Saccharomyces cerevisiae S288C: one gene and its partners. The gene in region 1 interacts genetically with each later gene. Each region holds a gene or a part of one and is shown on either strand. Other genes may lie near its edges. The genes, in order: YJR149W, ESBP6, VBA1 and SDS23.

Region 1 (3,722 bases):
ATTATTTCCACCATTTTTTGCAGTTGGGGTTCAGTGACATCCTAGTTAGCCCCTTCACCCCAACACAACTTATAACGCTCCTTTCCAAACATCTTCGAACGTGAAAACCTGCCTCTGAGGGTCATTCACGACCTAGCATACCACTATATACGTGTACGATTTTTTTTTTCTGTGACCGCACTACACCAAAGTTTAATGTTCCATTGGCCCCGGAACCATTCTTGCAAACGGCGTTCTTTTTCCGCTTTCGGGTGACACTTAATTTAGCTTCTTTTCCCTCTCTGACACCTCTTGTTATCTAATCTGTAGATCCGACTCTTTTTCTTTTTGGTGTCGTTCTTCTATGTCCGTTTTTCTGTCAACAAAAACGGAAATAATAGGTAGAAATTAAGAGCCGTACGTGAGTGAGAGGAGATCCGAAATGAGCTGACAGTATAACTAATATAAGCTTACAAGATATTCGACTATTTCCTGGGAAAAAATTCATTCCTTTGAGAAATCCTTAATAAAAACAGACTAACTACTAAAATTTTAGAAATTTAAGGGAAAGCATCTCCACGAGTTTTAAGAACGATATGACCTTGGCACCCCTAGACGCCTCCAAAGTTAAGATAACTACCACACAACATGCATCTAAGCCAAAACCGAACAGTGAGTTAGTGTTTGGCAAGAGCTTCACGGACCACATGTTAACTGCGGAATGGACAGCTGAAAAAGGGTGGGGTACCCCAGAGATTAAACCTTATCAAAATCTGTCTTTAGACCCTTCCGCGGTGGTTTTCCATTATGCTTTTGAGCTATTCGAAGGGATGAAGGCTTACAGAACGGTGGACAACAAAATTACAATGTTTCGTCCAGATATGAATATGAAGCGCATGAATAAGTCTGCTCAGAGAATCTGTTTGCCAACGTTCGACCCAGAAGAGTTGATTACCCTAATTGGGAAACTGATCCAGCAAGATAAGTGCTTAGTTCCTGAAGGAAAAGGTTACTCTTTATATATCAGGCCTACATTAATCGGCACTACGGCCGGTTTAGGGGTTTCCACGCCTGATAGAGCCTTGCTATATGTCATTTGCTGCCCTGTGGGTCCTTATTACAAAACTGGATTTAAGGCGGTCAGACTGGAAGCCACTGATTATGCCACAAGAGCTTGGCCAGGAGGCTGTGGTGACAAGAAACTAGGTGCAAACTACGCCCCCTGCGTCCTGCCACAATTGCAAGCTGCTTCAAGGGGTTACCAACAAAATTTATGGCTATTTGGTCCAAATAACAACATTACTGAAGTCGGCACCATGAATGCTTTTTTCGTGTTTAAAGATAGTAAAACGGGCAAGAAGGAACTAGTTACTGCTCCACTAGACGGTACCATTTTGGAAGGTGTTACTAGGGATTCCATTTTAAATCTTGCTAAAGAAAGACTCGAACCAAGTGAATGGACCATTAGTGAACGCTACTTCACTATAGGCGAAGTTACTGAGAGATCCAAGAACGGTGAACTACTTGAAGCCTTTGGTTCTGGTACTGCTGCGATTGTTTCTCCCATTAAGGAAATCGGCTGGAAAGGCGAACAAATTAATATTCCGTTGTTGCCCGGCGAACAAACCGGTCCATTGGCCAAAGAAGTTGCACAATGGATTAATGGAATCCAATATGGCGAGACTGAGCATGGCAATTGGTCAAGGGTTGTTACTGATTTGAACTGAAGTATCGCTATTGCTACGTAAAGTAATTAAAAGTTAAAAAGAATAAAACTAGAGCGTTTTTTCTACTGAGTTAAGGGGTCATGTCAGAATATAACATACCCTTTGACATTGTATATATGAATTCCTGGATTTTGCAGTGATCTGATAAAAAATGTATGTCGAAACCTGCAATTATCCTTTCGTTTTTTTTCTTGTCATCTAGTGCTGGCCTATCGGTATCAAGGACATCTTTTGCGCGGATAGAAAAGGGCCCATACATACCTTAGAAGCAACTCAAGACAATTCATGTACTTTTTAAACCAACTAATATTTCAAGACGTTTCCGTAATGTCGGTGGATAAAAGAGAAGATATGAGCAGATCTTTCCAAAAATGTTTAAACTTGAGATACCCTATCATCCAGGCCCCTATGGCGGGGGTCACGACTATTGAAATGGCCGCTAAGGCTTGTATTGCGGGCGCCATAGCTTCACTACCCCTATCCCACTTAGACTTCAGAAAGGTCAATGATATTGAAAAGCTTAAACTGATGGTTTCACAATTCAGAGATCAAGTAGCCGATGAATCTTTAGAGGGCAATCTCAACCTAAACTTTTTTTGCCATGATATCGTTGATAAACCGACCGATCTTCAAACAGCTAACTGGGCGAAGCTATACAGAAAGTCTATGAATGTGCCGATTGATATGAATGAGATTAAATTCGATAATGGTAATGTATCTTTTAAGGCATTTGAAAAAGAAAATGCTCTTCAAGATTTTTTCCAGTACCTATCAGATGGCTTTAGGCCTAAAATCATTAGTTTCCATTTTGGCCATCCGTCGAAATCTACAATAGAATATTTACAAAAAATTGGAATTCTAATTTTTGTGACTGCCACCTCTGTAAGAGAAGTTCGATTGTTAGCACGTCTCGGCATTAATGGCATAGTGTGTCAAGGCTATGAAGCGGGAGGACATAGAGGAAATTTCTTAGTAAATGACCCCAAAGATGATGAAAACTTATCAACTGTACAATTGGTGAAAAGAACAGTTGATGAACTTGCTGAAATGAAAAATAAAGGTCTTATACATGCTACTCCCTTTGTCATTGCAGCAGGTGGTATAATGGATTCCAAAGATATATCATACATGTTATCACAGCAAGCAGACGCTGTTCAAGTGGGGACTGCTTTTCTTGGTTGCAGTGAATCCAATGCATCAAAAAACTTTTCAAGCCCCTTCACTCGAGAAACAACAACTAAAATGGTTAATATAATATCAGGAAAGCCTGCAAGGACCATCTCTACTCCTTTTATCGAAAAAGTCATTGCTAATTTTCAAGGTGAGGAGCTTCCTCCATATGGCTACATGTATAGTGCTTTCAAGCAAGTAAGAAAAAAGTATCCAGAATTGGCTAACTTTATTTTAGCTGGACAAGGATTTCAGAATGTCCAATCAGGAATCACAACAGACAAGAAAATTGAAACTATGGGCGCAAGATTGAAAATTGACGGAAAATAATATAAATACATATAAAAGACCTGATACTTATTGACACAAATTTTCTGGATGACCTTTTTCTATATGATATATATACGTCGCTATTGGATCGTAGGTTACTTGGCCATTATTTGAGCGTAACCGTTCACAGGATGTGGGCTTTAAGGAATACAAAATCCAAATATGGAAAAAATTTGATATCAATTTAGGGCTTTAATATCTAAAGGTATTTATTTTTTTCACAGTTTTTTTTCTGTTAAGCTGTCTGCAATAAGGAATGCTCCTGACATGAAATTCGAAAAGGACCGGAAATAGTTGGAGCACAAGACTGCAAACTAAAAAACAAATTTCTTTGGAATTTCCTTACGCTTATAGTATATATCTTATAAATATTAAAATTAAGAGAATTCAATTATTTTACATCATTTATACAACTGTACAGGGCCGCACATGATCACTATAACAATAGAGCGGCGGCACCAGCAATAGCAGCGGCACCGAAAACACCGTTATTGAACTTGTTAGCACCGTTAGTGG
Region 2 (4,228 bases), on another chromosome or scaffold:
CTGCTCATGCCCAACGGCGGTACCAGTTTAGGTAAACTGTTGGCCTTGGGCTGCCGAGCTCTCTTTACCTTGACATTGTCACTATCGTTGGCTAGTTTGCGGTTGTCCCTTTTCTTTCGTTGCCGTTGCTGTTTCTTCATTTTCTTGAAAAGGGCCTCTTTTTCGTCGTCGGAAAATTCTTGTTCCTCTTCAGGTAATTCTTCATCGTACCCATTAGACGCATCAGTACCTTTGTTGCGCTTTAACTCGAAAGTATCTATCCAGTGGGCATCAGGGGTGACTATAAAGGCTTTCTCACCCAAACGCACTTTTAATTCATCGAATAAGTTTTTTTTTGAATCGGGCAACTTAATTCTATAAAATGGGTTTTGCAAGGGTCCAAACACCTCCGTCAACATCCCGATCAAAGTTCTATCCTCGAGACAGAAAATGGAACCCTCTTTTAAAACACGCTTTTCGCCCGACATCGTGGCGTGAATGATTATATTATTTTCAAATGCAGACTTCAAAACACCAATAGGAGTGATGATCGTTTTTTCTGAAATTTCATAATCTTCCGGTAGTTCAGGAACAGTTTCCTCTAGTATTTCGTTCTTCGATAGTATAGGACCGGAAGGTGAAGGGTCTTCGTCTTCGTCTTCATTTTCAATCGCGTCACCACCTTCGTCCTCTCCTTCAACGTCCTGATCTGCAGAATCATCCTCACTACCTGAAGAGCCAGAATCAGAATCAGAATCAGAACCGGAATCTGATTCGGATTCAGAAGAGCCGGATCCTAGGCCTGTTGATCTTTCTGCGTCTGCTACCGGTTCATCGGTCTTCCTCTCGTTCCCACCATCACCTAAAAGACCTAAATCAACATCATCCTTGGGCAATTCCACGTTCAAGTCCTGGTCGGGATTCTCCAAAGCCTTAGAAAACAAGTCATCGCTCATGATTAGCACTGTTTCGACGTGCTATATTGTGCTTCTTCCACTTTCATACCGCTTCATCCTACCTATCATCCTACCATCTTTTTCCTTTACCTTTAAGCTCATCGCCTGAAAAATTTCATGGCCGCAAAAAGAAACGCGCAGACCGTTACCCGAGTGGTAGTGCCTGACTCATTTATGTGCCAACTAAGCATTGCTCGAGAACAAACTAGTGAAAATGTAAACCAGGGAATTTATCATTTGGTCAAAGACCCTGACGAACTAAAACTGTCAAAGGCTGATAACGCAGTAAGAACAGACGGAGGCCTTATACCGCATCTTTGCAGACCACAGTTTCCTATATCTAGTTACAATAGCGCTTGCCGACGATAACCGAGATAACGTATCTTTGCCGCGGGCTATCTCGGCAATCTGCAAAAAAAAAAAACCCCCGCCGCTATTGAAGAAAAGTCTTCGGGAGAACCTGGATAAATACTTGGCATTCCTTAGATCTTGATGCTTTGTCCACTCATATCGGAGCCAAAACTAGACTGTTTCTTCTATATTCTACCAAAGCTGCTAGACTTAGACAAATTTTCTTTTGTTAGTTAAATGTGCGAGTCAGAATAGTATTTTGCATTTGTCACACCACATATTTAAAAGTTTTATCTTTTTCTTTTGTTTTCTCCACTTTTCTTTACTTTTTCTTTAGGTATAATTACGGGGCTTCTGAAAATAAATCTGAAAAATGTCAACGCACTCAAACGACTACTTTTCTGCTTCTTCCGGAATGGTCTCTGAGACATCGTCCGAGGTTTCTTCGATAAACTCTTCACAGCCTGTATCATTCTCTAAGGCTTCTATTGCTGCTCCGGTTCCATGCTCTGATCTACACAGCACCAAGTCGAACGATGCATCGAGAAAATTGTCTATTAGTAGGACGTTAACTAATCGGCTCAACGACATTAAAAAGGCTGTCGATGACGACAACTTGCAGACGGAAGAAAATTCCGCAGACGTTAATAAAATATTAGAATCTAGATTTGACGTGGCCGATGCCATTAGGCTACAGCACAATGAGTCAGTCCAGTCAAAGTTAAACATCCCAGTCACACACACCACGACTGCAGGCGCCTCGTTGTCGGCACCATCTTCCTCTGCTTTCTCTGCTTCTTCTATTCAAAATGATACTACAGAACATAAAGCTTCCATGGACTCCAAACTCATGAGGAATAGACTATATCCGGCTTCCACGAAACACTCCGGTAAGGATCTTGAGGCCCAAGGAATAACCGAATTCGAGCCTGATGAACCGACTGTAAAAAAAGTATTCACCAACAAGTCTACCGGGCAGCTGGAACTGCCCCCCGACGGTGGTTATGGCTGGGTCGTGACATTCTGTGTGTTCTTGACCATGTTTTCCACGTGGGGCTGCAACGCATCCTTCGGTGTCGACCTTGCCTACTACTTAAACCATGATACTTACCCTGGTGCTTCGAAGTACGATTATGCCTTAATTGCTGGCCTAACTGTCTTTCTCGGTCAACTCTTATCCCCCCTTGTGATGGCACTGATGAGAATAATTGGTCTGCGGACCACCATGCTTTTTGGTGATGCTGTAATGCTTGCCGCATATCTCTTGGCCTCCTTTACTACCAAGTTATGGCAATTGTATGTCACCCAAGGTTTTATGGTCGGTTGTTCAATATCACTGATTTTCGTTCCAGCAACAACCGTCTTACCAGGATGGTTCTTGAAAAAAAGAGCTGTCGCAATGGGTGTCTCATTATTGGGTACCGGTGCTGGTGGTGTCGTTTACGGTTTGGCTACAAACAAAATGCTTTCTGACTTTGGAAATACCCGGTGGTGCCTTCGTATCATAGGCATATCGTGTAGCATAAGTGTTCTAGTTGCTATTGCGCTCTTAAAAGAAAGAAACCCTACACCTGCCATAGGATTGAAATCGCCTCGGGCCATGTTTGAACAGCTCAAAGCAATGTTTTCATTAAAGGTTATAACTAAGCCATTTGTGGTACTTATTGCATTATGGTTCATGTTCGCATTATTTGCCTACAATATGATGGTTTTTACTTTATCTTCATACGCAATCTCGAAAGGATTATCATCGCACGACGCTTCCACATTGACTGCCATTTTGAACGGCTCGCAATCCATCGGAAGACCTCTGATGGGTTTAGCGGGAGATAAGTTTGGTAGGGCAAACGTAACGATCGTATTAACCACTTTGTTAACAATATATATGTTTGCGTTCTGGATCCCCGCTCATACGTTTGTTCAACTCATCTTTTTTTCAATTCTAGTTGGCTCATGCGTTGGTGTCGCCAACGTCATGAATACCGTTCTGATTGCCGATATGGTTAAACCAGAAGAGTTTTTGCCCGCTTGGGCCTTCGTCAACTACTGTGGTGCGCCTTTCTTATTGGTTTGTGAGGTGATTGCCCAGGCATTGACGGTGGAGAAAGATAAGAGCAATCCTTACTTACATGCACAAATTTTTTGCGGTTGCTGCTTTATTGCCGCACTAATTTTAATTTCTATCCTTCGTGAATATTCTATCAGGATGAAATTAACGGAAAGACAAGCTATGACAAACGAGAAGTTAAAAGAATGGAAGGCAAGCGAATACGATACCGATTCTGCCGATGAAGATTGGGGTAAATTAAAAGAAAGAAAGACTAAATATGACCTTCTTTTAGGTCCGGGCATTAAAAAATACTTCCTAAGAATGGTATATCCAATGAAGGTCTAGTTCTTTTCGACGACCTGATTCATGTTATATACGCGATAGTTACGTCGCCTACTCATCATATCATTAGTACATAATATTCAATATCTCCGCTTCACCTAATTAAATTTCTTTATTATCAAAAAGACGTAAAGTTAACGCTGAAAAAGCATTCTTTACAGAAAACGACCTTTTTTTAACCTAATATATTTAGCACTGTAAAGATATTCCATGTATCCATATGTAATACACTTTGTGTTGCGGATCCAGGAAAAACAAAACGAAAAAAGAGTCTCTTTACTTGCAAATAAATCTGTAAATCATTTGCTACCATTACAACTTATACATTAAACCTGCGTGGAGGAAATTTATTATAAATGAAAAACGGGACGGGATCATTTCTTAACGGAGCGATTTGCTCAATAAGAAAAGCTCTTCATCGCCATCGTTCTTTAAATCTGCCCTAAAAATATACAGTCTGTCTTTAAAATTTTTATACTGGCTAACAATTTCCTTTAAATTCGTATTAAATTTTCCCAATAATCCGTTAGATGCTTCGTGATCATTGAGA
Region 3 (4,173 bases), on another chromosome or scaffold:
GATCAAGTTCAAGGACGTTGCCGGATGCGATGAGGCTAAGGAAGAAATTATGGAGTTTGTTAGCTTCTTGAAAGAACCTTCTCGTTATGAAAAAATGGGAGCTAAAATTCCTAGAGGTGCGATTCTATCTGGTCCACCAGGTACCGGTAAAACTTTGCTTGCAAAGGCAACAGCAGGTGAAGCCGGTGTTCCGTTTTATTTTGTTTCTGGTTCAGAATTTGTAGAAATGTTTGTTGGTGTTGGTGCAGCAAGAGTAAGAGATTTGTTCAAAACTGCAAGAGAAAATGCACCCTCAATTGTGTTTATTGACGAAATTGATGCTATAGGAAAAGCAAGACAAAAGGGTAATTTTTCAGGTGCCAATGATGAGAGAGAGAACACGCTAAATCAAATGTTAGTAGAAATGGATGGTTTCACTCCAGCTGACCACGTTGTTGTTTTAGCTGGTACCAATAGACCCGATATTCTCGATAAAGCATTATTAAGGCCTGGTAGATTTGACAGGCATATCAATATCGACAAGCCCGAACTTGAGGGTAGAAAAGCCATTTTTGCTGTTCATTTACATCATTTGAAACTTGCCGGGGAAATTTTTGATTTGAAAAATAGATTAGCGGCTTTGACGCCAGGCTTTTCTGGTGCTGATATTGCCAACGTTTGTAACGAGGCCGCCTTGATTGCTGCTAGAAGTGATGAAGATGCAGTAAAATTGAATCATTTTGAACAAGCTATCGAAAGAGTCATCGGTGGAGTGGAACGCAAATCCAAGCTACTCTCTCCCGAAGAGAAGAAAGTAGTGGCTTACCACGAGGCTGGTCATGCTGTATGTGGATGGTACTTAAAATACGCAGATCCTCTTCTGAAAGTCAGTATTATTCCACGTGGCCAGGGCGCCCTTGGTTATGCACAGTATTTGCCAGGTGATATCTTCTTACTAACTGAACAGCAACTTAAGGACAGAATGACCATGTCTCTGGGTGGAAGAGTTTCTGAAGAATTACATTTCCCATCAGTTACAAGTGGCGCATCTGATGACTTCAAAAAAGTTACTAGCATGGCCACGGCAATGGTCACAGAATTAGGCATGAGTGATAAAATTGGCTGGGTCAATTACCAGAAGAGAGATGATAGCGATTTGACAAAACCATTTTCGGACGAGACAGGTGACATTATTGATTCCGAAGTATACAGAATCGTCCAAGAATGCCATGACAGATGTACAAAGCTGCTTAAAGAAAAAGCAGAAGATGTAGAGAAGATTGCTCAAGTACTACTGAAAAAAGAAGTTTTGACAAGAGAAGATATGATTGATTTACTTGGTAAGCGCCCTTTCCCAGAAAGGAATGATGCTTTTGATAAGTACTTGAACGATTACGAAACGGAAAAAATCAGGAAGGAAGAAGAAAAAAACGAAAAACGTAATGAGCCTAAGCCATCTACAAACTGATTGATATTTCACAATACAAAGAAATGGAGGAAGACTGTTCTACATATCTTGCTTATTTTATTGAAAGCCAGACATCTTTCTTTTTCGGTAGAACACTGTCACGTATTTACCATATAATCTAATCTGAAAACATGTAAATATATATACGTGTATAAATGCACCTATATCTATATATGATCAAAGCGCTTCTGTGAGGCTGTCATTGGTTAATACACGCGATCTTTTTTTTATCGCTGATTCCACGGCTTAGCCTATCTTATCTTCAGTATTCGCATGATACACTTTTTCACTGCGTCGTTTTGTTGGATGATATCTGTCCGACAATAAACGTAGGTCATCTTAAGGGCCGGTGATAGAGAAGAGCATGCGGTTCCACTTTAGGCCAACCCACATTCCCAAAATATAAGAATACAGCAGCGATTTTTTTCTATCGAATTATTTTGTTTTTTGTCTCCTCTTTGTTCTTCACTAAGCTCAGAGCCCTAGTTGTTGAGGGAACAAGAAGAATGCAAACACTAGACGAGACTTCAAATCTACTCCCTCCACCTGAGGAAGCTGAAGCCCCTCCCTTGGAACAAAAATTTCATGAATATAATTTGGCCTTACCTAAGTTTCCCATTTTGTTTTCGCTATGGTTGGGTAGTTTTTTGAGTTCCTTGGATAGCACTATTGTCGCAAATATAATGAATAGAGTTGCTGAGGAATTCTCTGAATCAAGTAAAAAGCAATGGATTGCGACGAGTTTTCTTTTGACAAATACGGCTTTCCAACCACTATATGGGAAGCTTTCTGATATAACAGGGCGGAAGTCAGCATTATTAACCGCTCAATTTTTTTTTGGCCTTGGGTGCTTATTAACATGTTTTGCCAGAAACGTCACGGAATTCTCAATAGCAAGAGCCATATGTGGTATTGGTGCAGGAGGATTGAATGCTATTAGTAGCATTGCTGTTAGTGACATATGTACAGCAAGAGAAAGGGGCGTTTACCAGGGATATGCGAATATTGTTTTCGGGTTTGGTCAATTACTAGGTGCTCCGTTGGGTGGTGTATTTATAGAAACCATTGGATGGAGGGCTCTTTTTGGTATCCAAGTACCCGTGATAATGTTGTGCTCGGTATTAGCAATCAAAAACATTAATATTAAGCTATTCCATGTTCCTCCTATGAAAGAAAGATATACCTTAAAGAATCTGTCACGGATAGATATATTTGGCTCATTAAGCCTGGTGGCGACCATTAGTGGAGTTTTATTTTTGTGCTCTAGCCAGTTGAACAAGTTGTATTTAGCATTGTTTACCATTGGTAGCTTTATTGTTTTTATCCTGGTTGAACGTTATTACGCGACTGAGAAAATTTTACCATTCGAACTATTGACTCGCTCATTCTGTTTGAGCTCAGCGGTAACGGTTATATCTTCATTTGTTGTATTTGGTGAAATCTTTAGGTCACCAATCTATTTACAATTGCTTCAAAATATTAGTGTAACAAAGACTGGCCTCTTTTTGATTTTCCCCTCTATATCAGTTGCAGTCGGATCATTGGTAACAGGATGGGTATTGCGGAATACGAAAATTAACCTAGCACACTGTGCATATCAAATCATTTTTGGTGGTATGATAATGCAGCTATTGGGTTTGGGATTGGGCTATTTCCTACTTTCACACTTGAATCCTGACTACACCATATATGATATGCTTGAGTCTATTACATTCAGATCTAACTCAATATGGTGGAAATTGATATATGTGTTTGCATCAGTCCTTGTGTCCTTTGGTTACGCTTGTCTATTAGTGGCCACGTTAGTAAGCATCGTATTCACCGTCGAAAAATCACAGCAAGGAACCATGACTGGTGTTTTCTATTTGTGGAGATCCATTGGTAACGTTCTTGGTGCCTCTTTAACTTTAGTGTCCTATGAGAATAGCCTGTCGTCCATGTTATGGAATTATATGTTCAAAACCAAGCGTGATGACGAATATCACTTCACCAAAAAGCAGTACTACTCCCTTATCAATGATTCGAGTTACTTGAGAGGGCCCAATTTTCCAACGGATATATTTGTTCGCATTCTTGATGTCTACAAAAAGGCATTCCTGATTTCCTATATTCCAAATATAGCCCTGGCAGCAGTGGGAATTGTTTTATCGTTATATCTGGTGAAACATACTTACAAACGTAGTTCAAGTTCTTGAAAAATTGAAAATAGACTTTATATTATATACCTTTATAAATCCAAGGTCAAAATCCTTCTAGGAATGAGCAATTCTATTGCATCTTTTTCTACATTAAAGGATTTCAGCATTTCGATATCTATTCCTAGTTTTTGGCACTCTATTTTGCAACTTTCCGGGAAAAAAGGTTCAAACGGATATTGCAAATAATACATGATCAGCACATTTTTCAATTCTTTGCTTATGTGATCTCCCGCCATATATAGTCTTAACGCAAAGGCCATACTCTTGCAACTGATAATGGGTGGTACACCTGCATACCCAGTACATAATCCAGGAATAATAAGACCATCAATGTCTTTTGGAGAATGCATCAAGGCATTCCACATGGCGTTGAAAACCGGTTCAAACCCTGTCTTGAGGGGATTCTGCGGATTAAATATAGGAGCTGATGGGGCTACAACGGTCGGAACATGAATAATATACCTAATACCATCTCTACATTCAATTGTTTTCTCTTCAAGACATCGCTGTAGGTCAACCACTGTAGCA
Region 4 (4,092 bases), on another chromosome or scaffold:
TTGGGTACCGATGTAATGAGCCAAGGAGTTAATGCAAAAGGTAGCTTGTTGAATGACAAAGACACGAATAAAACCGGCATAGATCAAACCACCCATATAGTCGTTGAAAAAGTAACCACAGATAAGAGTTGGAATGACGAAAGCGGTTAACAACATCAACAAGATGTAGTGTCTGTGTTGGAATCTAATGGTCCAATCATCAGTCATATCGGTAATATCAGCTCTAGCCTTGTATTTTGGATTTGGCTTCAAAAGCATCCATCCCATGTGGGAGTACCATAGACCTCTACGAGCGTCATAAGGATCTCTCAAGGTATCAGTGTAACGATGGTGAATTCTGTGAGAGTGGCCCCACCATTTAGCGGACCCTTCAACGGAAGCACAACCGAAGATAGCGTAGAATAATCTCAATGGCCAGTGAGCGGAGTAAGATCTGTGAGACCATAATCTATGGTAACCGGCAGTAATAGAAACACCACCGACAGCGTAGTAGAAAACGGAGAAAAGGAAAACGTTTAAATGCAAAGGCACTTTACCAGAGAGAGCAAAGTACCAACCAATCATTGGCATACCACAAACAAGAACCATGTTCAACCAGTTCAAATGTTGGTGCCAGTTATTCAAAGTCCATGGTTGTTCGGAGATGTGAATTTTAGTTTTAGCTTCTTCTTTTTCTTGGTTGTCCTTTTCTAGCAGACGATCCAAATTGGACTTCTTTTCGTTTCCCTTCTTGTCGAATTCCACGGAAACCATTTCCTTGGAGCCCATTAAAGAACCAAAACCGTTGACAATTCTTGGTGCTTTCTTATTCAAACCAGTAGCCAAAATATTAGCTTCCGTTAAGTCGACTTCGTCGACAATGCCACTGCTGGCAGAGTCATCCTTTGGAAATTGGTCGTCAATCAATTCAATAGTAGTTCCAGAAGTTGGCATCTTTGTTGTAATGTTTTAGTGCTGTTTATAATATGATCACCACAACTATCTATTACTATGATGTTCTATTCTACGTAATACAAAATATAAACGGAAACAGAAGTAGGAAAGATGGAAATAGAACAATAAATGAATCAAGATCTGCCCCCATATATATATGTATATGCTGATTTGCAAGACTCGATGAGCCAGGAGCCGATGATTTGCTGCATATATTGTTAACTACTATTATTTCCACCTTTGTGTGCCATCCCCATAGCCGTAACAATAGGGATAGGTGTGTCTGAGTGAGCAAGACTCGTAGAAGCACACCTGGTTGGGCACTAGATAAGGTTTGTTGAGTGTTCAACGTCCGAAAGAAAGCTGCCGACTATGCGAAGAGAACCTTAAGCCGTTATTACCTCTGCCTGTCACAGGCGATGTGATGCTAACGAACAGCACCAGAGCCAAGCCAACTGGGGCGGTCTGCAGAGAAGGCTGGGATACCCGAAATAGCTCGCTCAACAGCTTTTTTTCTTCTACGGAAGCCCACCAGATAAGCGCCTTTGTTGGGCCCGCTAACCCCGGGACATGCCCGGGCTCGGAGTTAGTTTTTGGCCACCGGGCGCCCGAAAAATGCTTCAGAAAAGAGCCATAGTCACGGAGAATCTTGACGTGCATAATGATTAGATATGACACCCTCATTCTCATTTGGATTTATTATCACGTGATGGTATAACCCGGACTGGAACTACATATCCGCTAATCCTTGACTTATTTCCATGTGTCATTTATTTTTTTTTTTTTTTTTTTTCCTTTTTTTTTTCCGCCCGGCAAATGAAATGAAAAATGGGTGATGGAGAAACCATGAGGTTTTTGAGAAATTTCACAGATGACTATAAACTTAGCGATATCATCTCGTACAGAAAAGTAACCAAACCTGCAAACGAAAAGCTTACTTTTGTTAAAAGCGTATCAAGCTAGCGATACGAATACCTCAGAACATCATCTTTTCAGCAAGACCCACCCAATGCCTCAAAATACAAGACACACGTCCATCGTAGAAATGCTTTCTACCCCACCTCAATTACCGAATTCCACAGATTTAAATAGTTTGAGCGAACAGACAGACAAGAACACTGAAGCAAACAAAAGCGACACAGAATCACTACATAAATCTATTTCGAAATCGTCATCTTCATCTTCTCTCTCCACGCTGGATAACACGGAATACTCAAACAATAATGGCAACTCCTTGTCCACCTTGAATTCACAGAATCTGTTATCTGTTCATAGGCAGGAGTGGCAACACACTCCTCTGTCAAATTTGGTGGAACAGAACAAATTGATTTTCATCAGAGGTTCTATTTCCGTAGAGGAAGCATTCAACACGCTGGTCAAGCACCAGCTAACGTCTTTGCCTGTGGAGAATTTTCCGGGAGACATGAATTGTTTAACATTCGACTATAATGATCTCAATGCGTACCTTCTTCTTGTATTAAACAGGATCAAGGTGAGCAACGACAAGATAACCTCAGACTGCCAGAATGGTAAGTCCGTGCCCGTGGGCGAGATAGTAAAGTTGACACCTAAGAATCCATTCTACAAATTGCCCGAAACGGAAAACTTATCGACGGTAATAGGCATACTAGGCTCAGGTGTGCATCGTGTTGCCATCACGAACGTGGAAATGACACAGATTAAAGGTATACTTTCCCAACGTCGATTGATTAAGTATCTGTGGGAGAATGCGAGATCATTTCCCAACTTGAAGCCTCTCTTGGACTCTTCCCTGGAGGAGCTGAATATTGGTGTACTAAATGCAGCCCGTGATAAACCTACATTCAAGCAGTCACGTGTCATATCCATCCAAGGTGACGAGCATCTAATTATGGCTCTGCATAAAATGTATGTCGAAAGAATCTCTTCCATTGCGGTAGTTGACCCGCAGGGAAACTTGATTGGTAATATTTCAGTAACAGACGTCAAACACGTCACCAGAACTTCACAATATCCTTTATTACACAATACATGTCGTCATTTTGTCTCGGTTATTTTGAATTTAAGGGGCCTAGAGACCGGTAAGGACTCATTTCCTATTTTCCATGTGTATCCAACAAGTTCCCTGGCAAGAACGTTTGCCAAATTGGTCGCTACCAAATCTCACAGATTATGGATAGTACAACCAAATGACAATCAACCAACAGCATCTTCCGAAAAATCCTCATCTCCATCACCAAGTACTCCACCCGTAACGACATTGCCATCGCTTGCGTCGTCATACCATTCGAACACGCAATCTTCCAGGATGGCCAACTCTCCTGTTCTAAAATCTTCAGATACATCAAACAATAAAATAAATGTAAATATAAATTTGAGTGGTCCCTCACCTTCTCAACCACAGTCTCCATCGGCCACAATGCCACCACCTCAAAGTCCAAGTAATTGTCCCGCATCTCCAACTCCAGCACATTTCGAAAAGGAGTATAGAACAGGTAAATTGATAGGTGTTGTGTCATTGACTGACATATTAAGTGTTTTGGCAAGAAAACAAACGCATCATAAGGAAATTGATCCGCAGATGGCAAGAAAGCAAAGAGGGCATATAGGCTGAAACAAACCAGACGAAAAAAACTGGCTTCATTTAACTACATATACATATATAAGGGTTTTTCTGATTTTTATTTTATCCCAATAAAGTTTGATTTTTTTTTTTTTACTTTTATTATGCACTGGGGCGAGGTTTTTAGGCCCTTTCTTTTCTTAGAGGAAATATATACACATGTTCTCGCTAAAATCAGTTAAAAGGTCCGATTGAGATGGTACTGTCAAATGTTAAAATCTTCAGATTAAAATCGCATAGAGCCTTCAGAATCGGTCCCATGATTAAAGCAGTCGCAGGAAATCTTTTGGTAAAGAGATTTTATCAACCAAAATTAGAAAGAATTCCACCGGCTTCACTGCTTTTGAAGCAGAAAATACGGTTAGCTCAAAATGGCAGTACTACATCTACAGAAAACCCCATTTCCTTCTCACAGACCATGTCCGAGATATTTAGCGTCTTGCAGCCAAGTGCACCAGATCTAGATGAAGACGAAACAAGTGGTTTGAAACGCGATCATTTATTAACTGAGCGTCTAAACAACGGCGAGCTTGGTGTCATTATGAACAAATTCTTCA

The links.
Region 2: mutations in YJR149W (region 1) and ESBP6 together harm fitness more than expected from each alone (negative genetic interaction), as found in Saccharomyces cerevisiae (one large-scale study listed by BioGRID).
Region 3: mutations in YJR149W (region 1) and VBA1 together harm fitness more than expected from each alone (negative genetic interaction), as found in Saccharomyces cerevisiae (one large-scale study listed by BioGRID).
Region 4: mutations in YJR149W (region 1) and SDS23 together harm fitness more than expected from each alone (negative genetic interaction), as found in Saccharomyces cerevisiae (one large-scale study listed by BioGRID).

What each region holds. Positions count from the first base shown.
Region 1 is NC_001142.9:705,169-708,890, forward strand, and holds YJR149W (putative nitronate monooxygenase), read left to right. Parts: upstream 1-1,991; coding exon 1,992-3,206; downstream 3,207-3,722. Other genes in the region: HMS2 (Hms2p), read left to right, coding at 1-104; branched-chain-amino-acid transaminase BAT2, read left to right, coding at 576-1,706; DAN1 (Dan1p), read right to left, coding at 3,643-3,722. UniProt on the Saccharomyces cerevisiae protein: Catalyzes the oxidation of alkyl nitronates to produce the corresponding carbonyl compounds and nitrites.
Region 2 is NC_001146.8:389,599-393,826, reverse strand, and holds ESBP6 (Esbp6p), read left to right. Parts: upstream 1-1,659; coding exon 1,660-3,681; downstream 3,682-4,228. Other genes in the region: NAF1 (RNA-binding snoRNP assembly protein), read right to left, coding at 1-935; SPC98 (Spc98p), read right to left, coding at 4,060-4,228.
Region 3 is NC_001145.3:442,883-447,055, reverse strand, and holds VBA1 (Vba1p), read left to right. Parts: upstream 1-1,953; coding exon 1,954-3,642; downstream 3,643-4,173. Other genes in the region: m-AAA protease subunit YTA12, read left to right, coding at 1-1,447; PDL32 (putative ADP-ribose 1''-phosphate phosphatase), read right to left, coding at 3,675-4,173. UniProt on the Saccharomyces cerevisiae protein: Transporter required for vacuolar uptake of at least histidine and lysine.
Region 4 is NC_001139.9:395,469-399,560, reverse strand, and holds SDS23 (Sds23p), read left to right. Parts: upstream 1-1,942; coding exon 1,943-3,526; downstream 3,527-4,092. Other genes in the region: OLE1 (stearoyl-CoA 9-desaturase), read right to left, coding at 1-933; GEP7 (Gep7p), read left to right, coding at 3,732-4,092. UniProt on the Saccharomyces cerevisiae protein: Involved in DNA replication and cell separation during budding.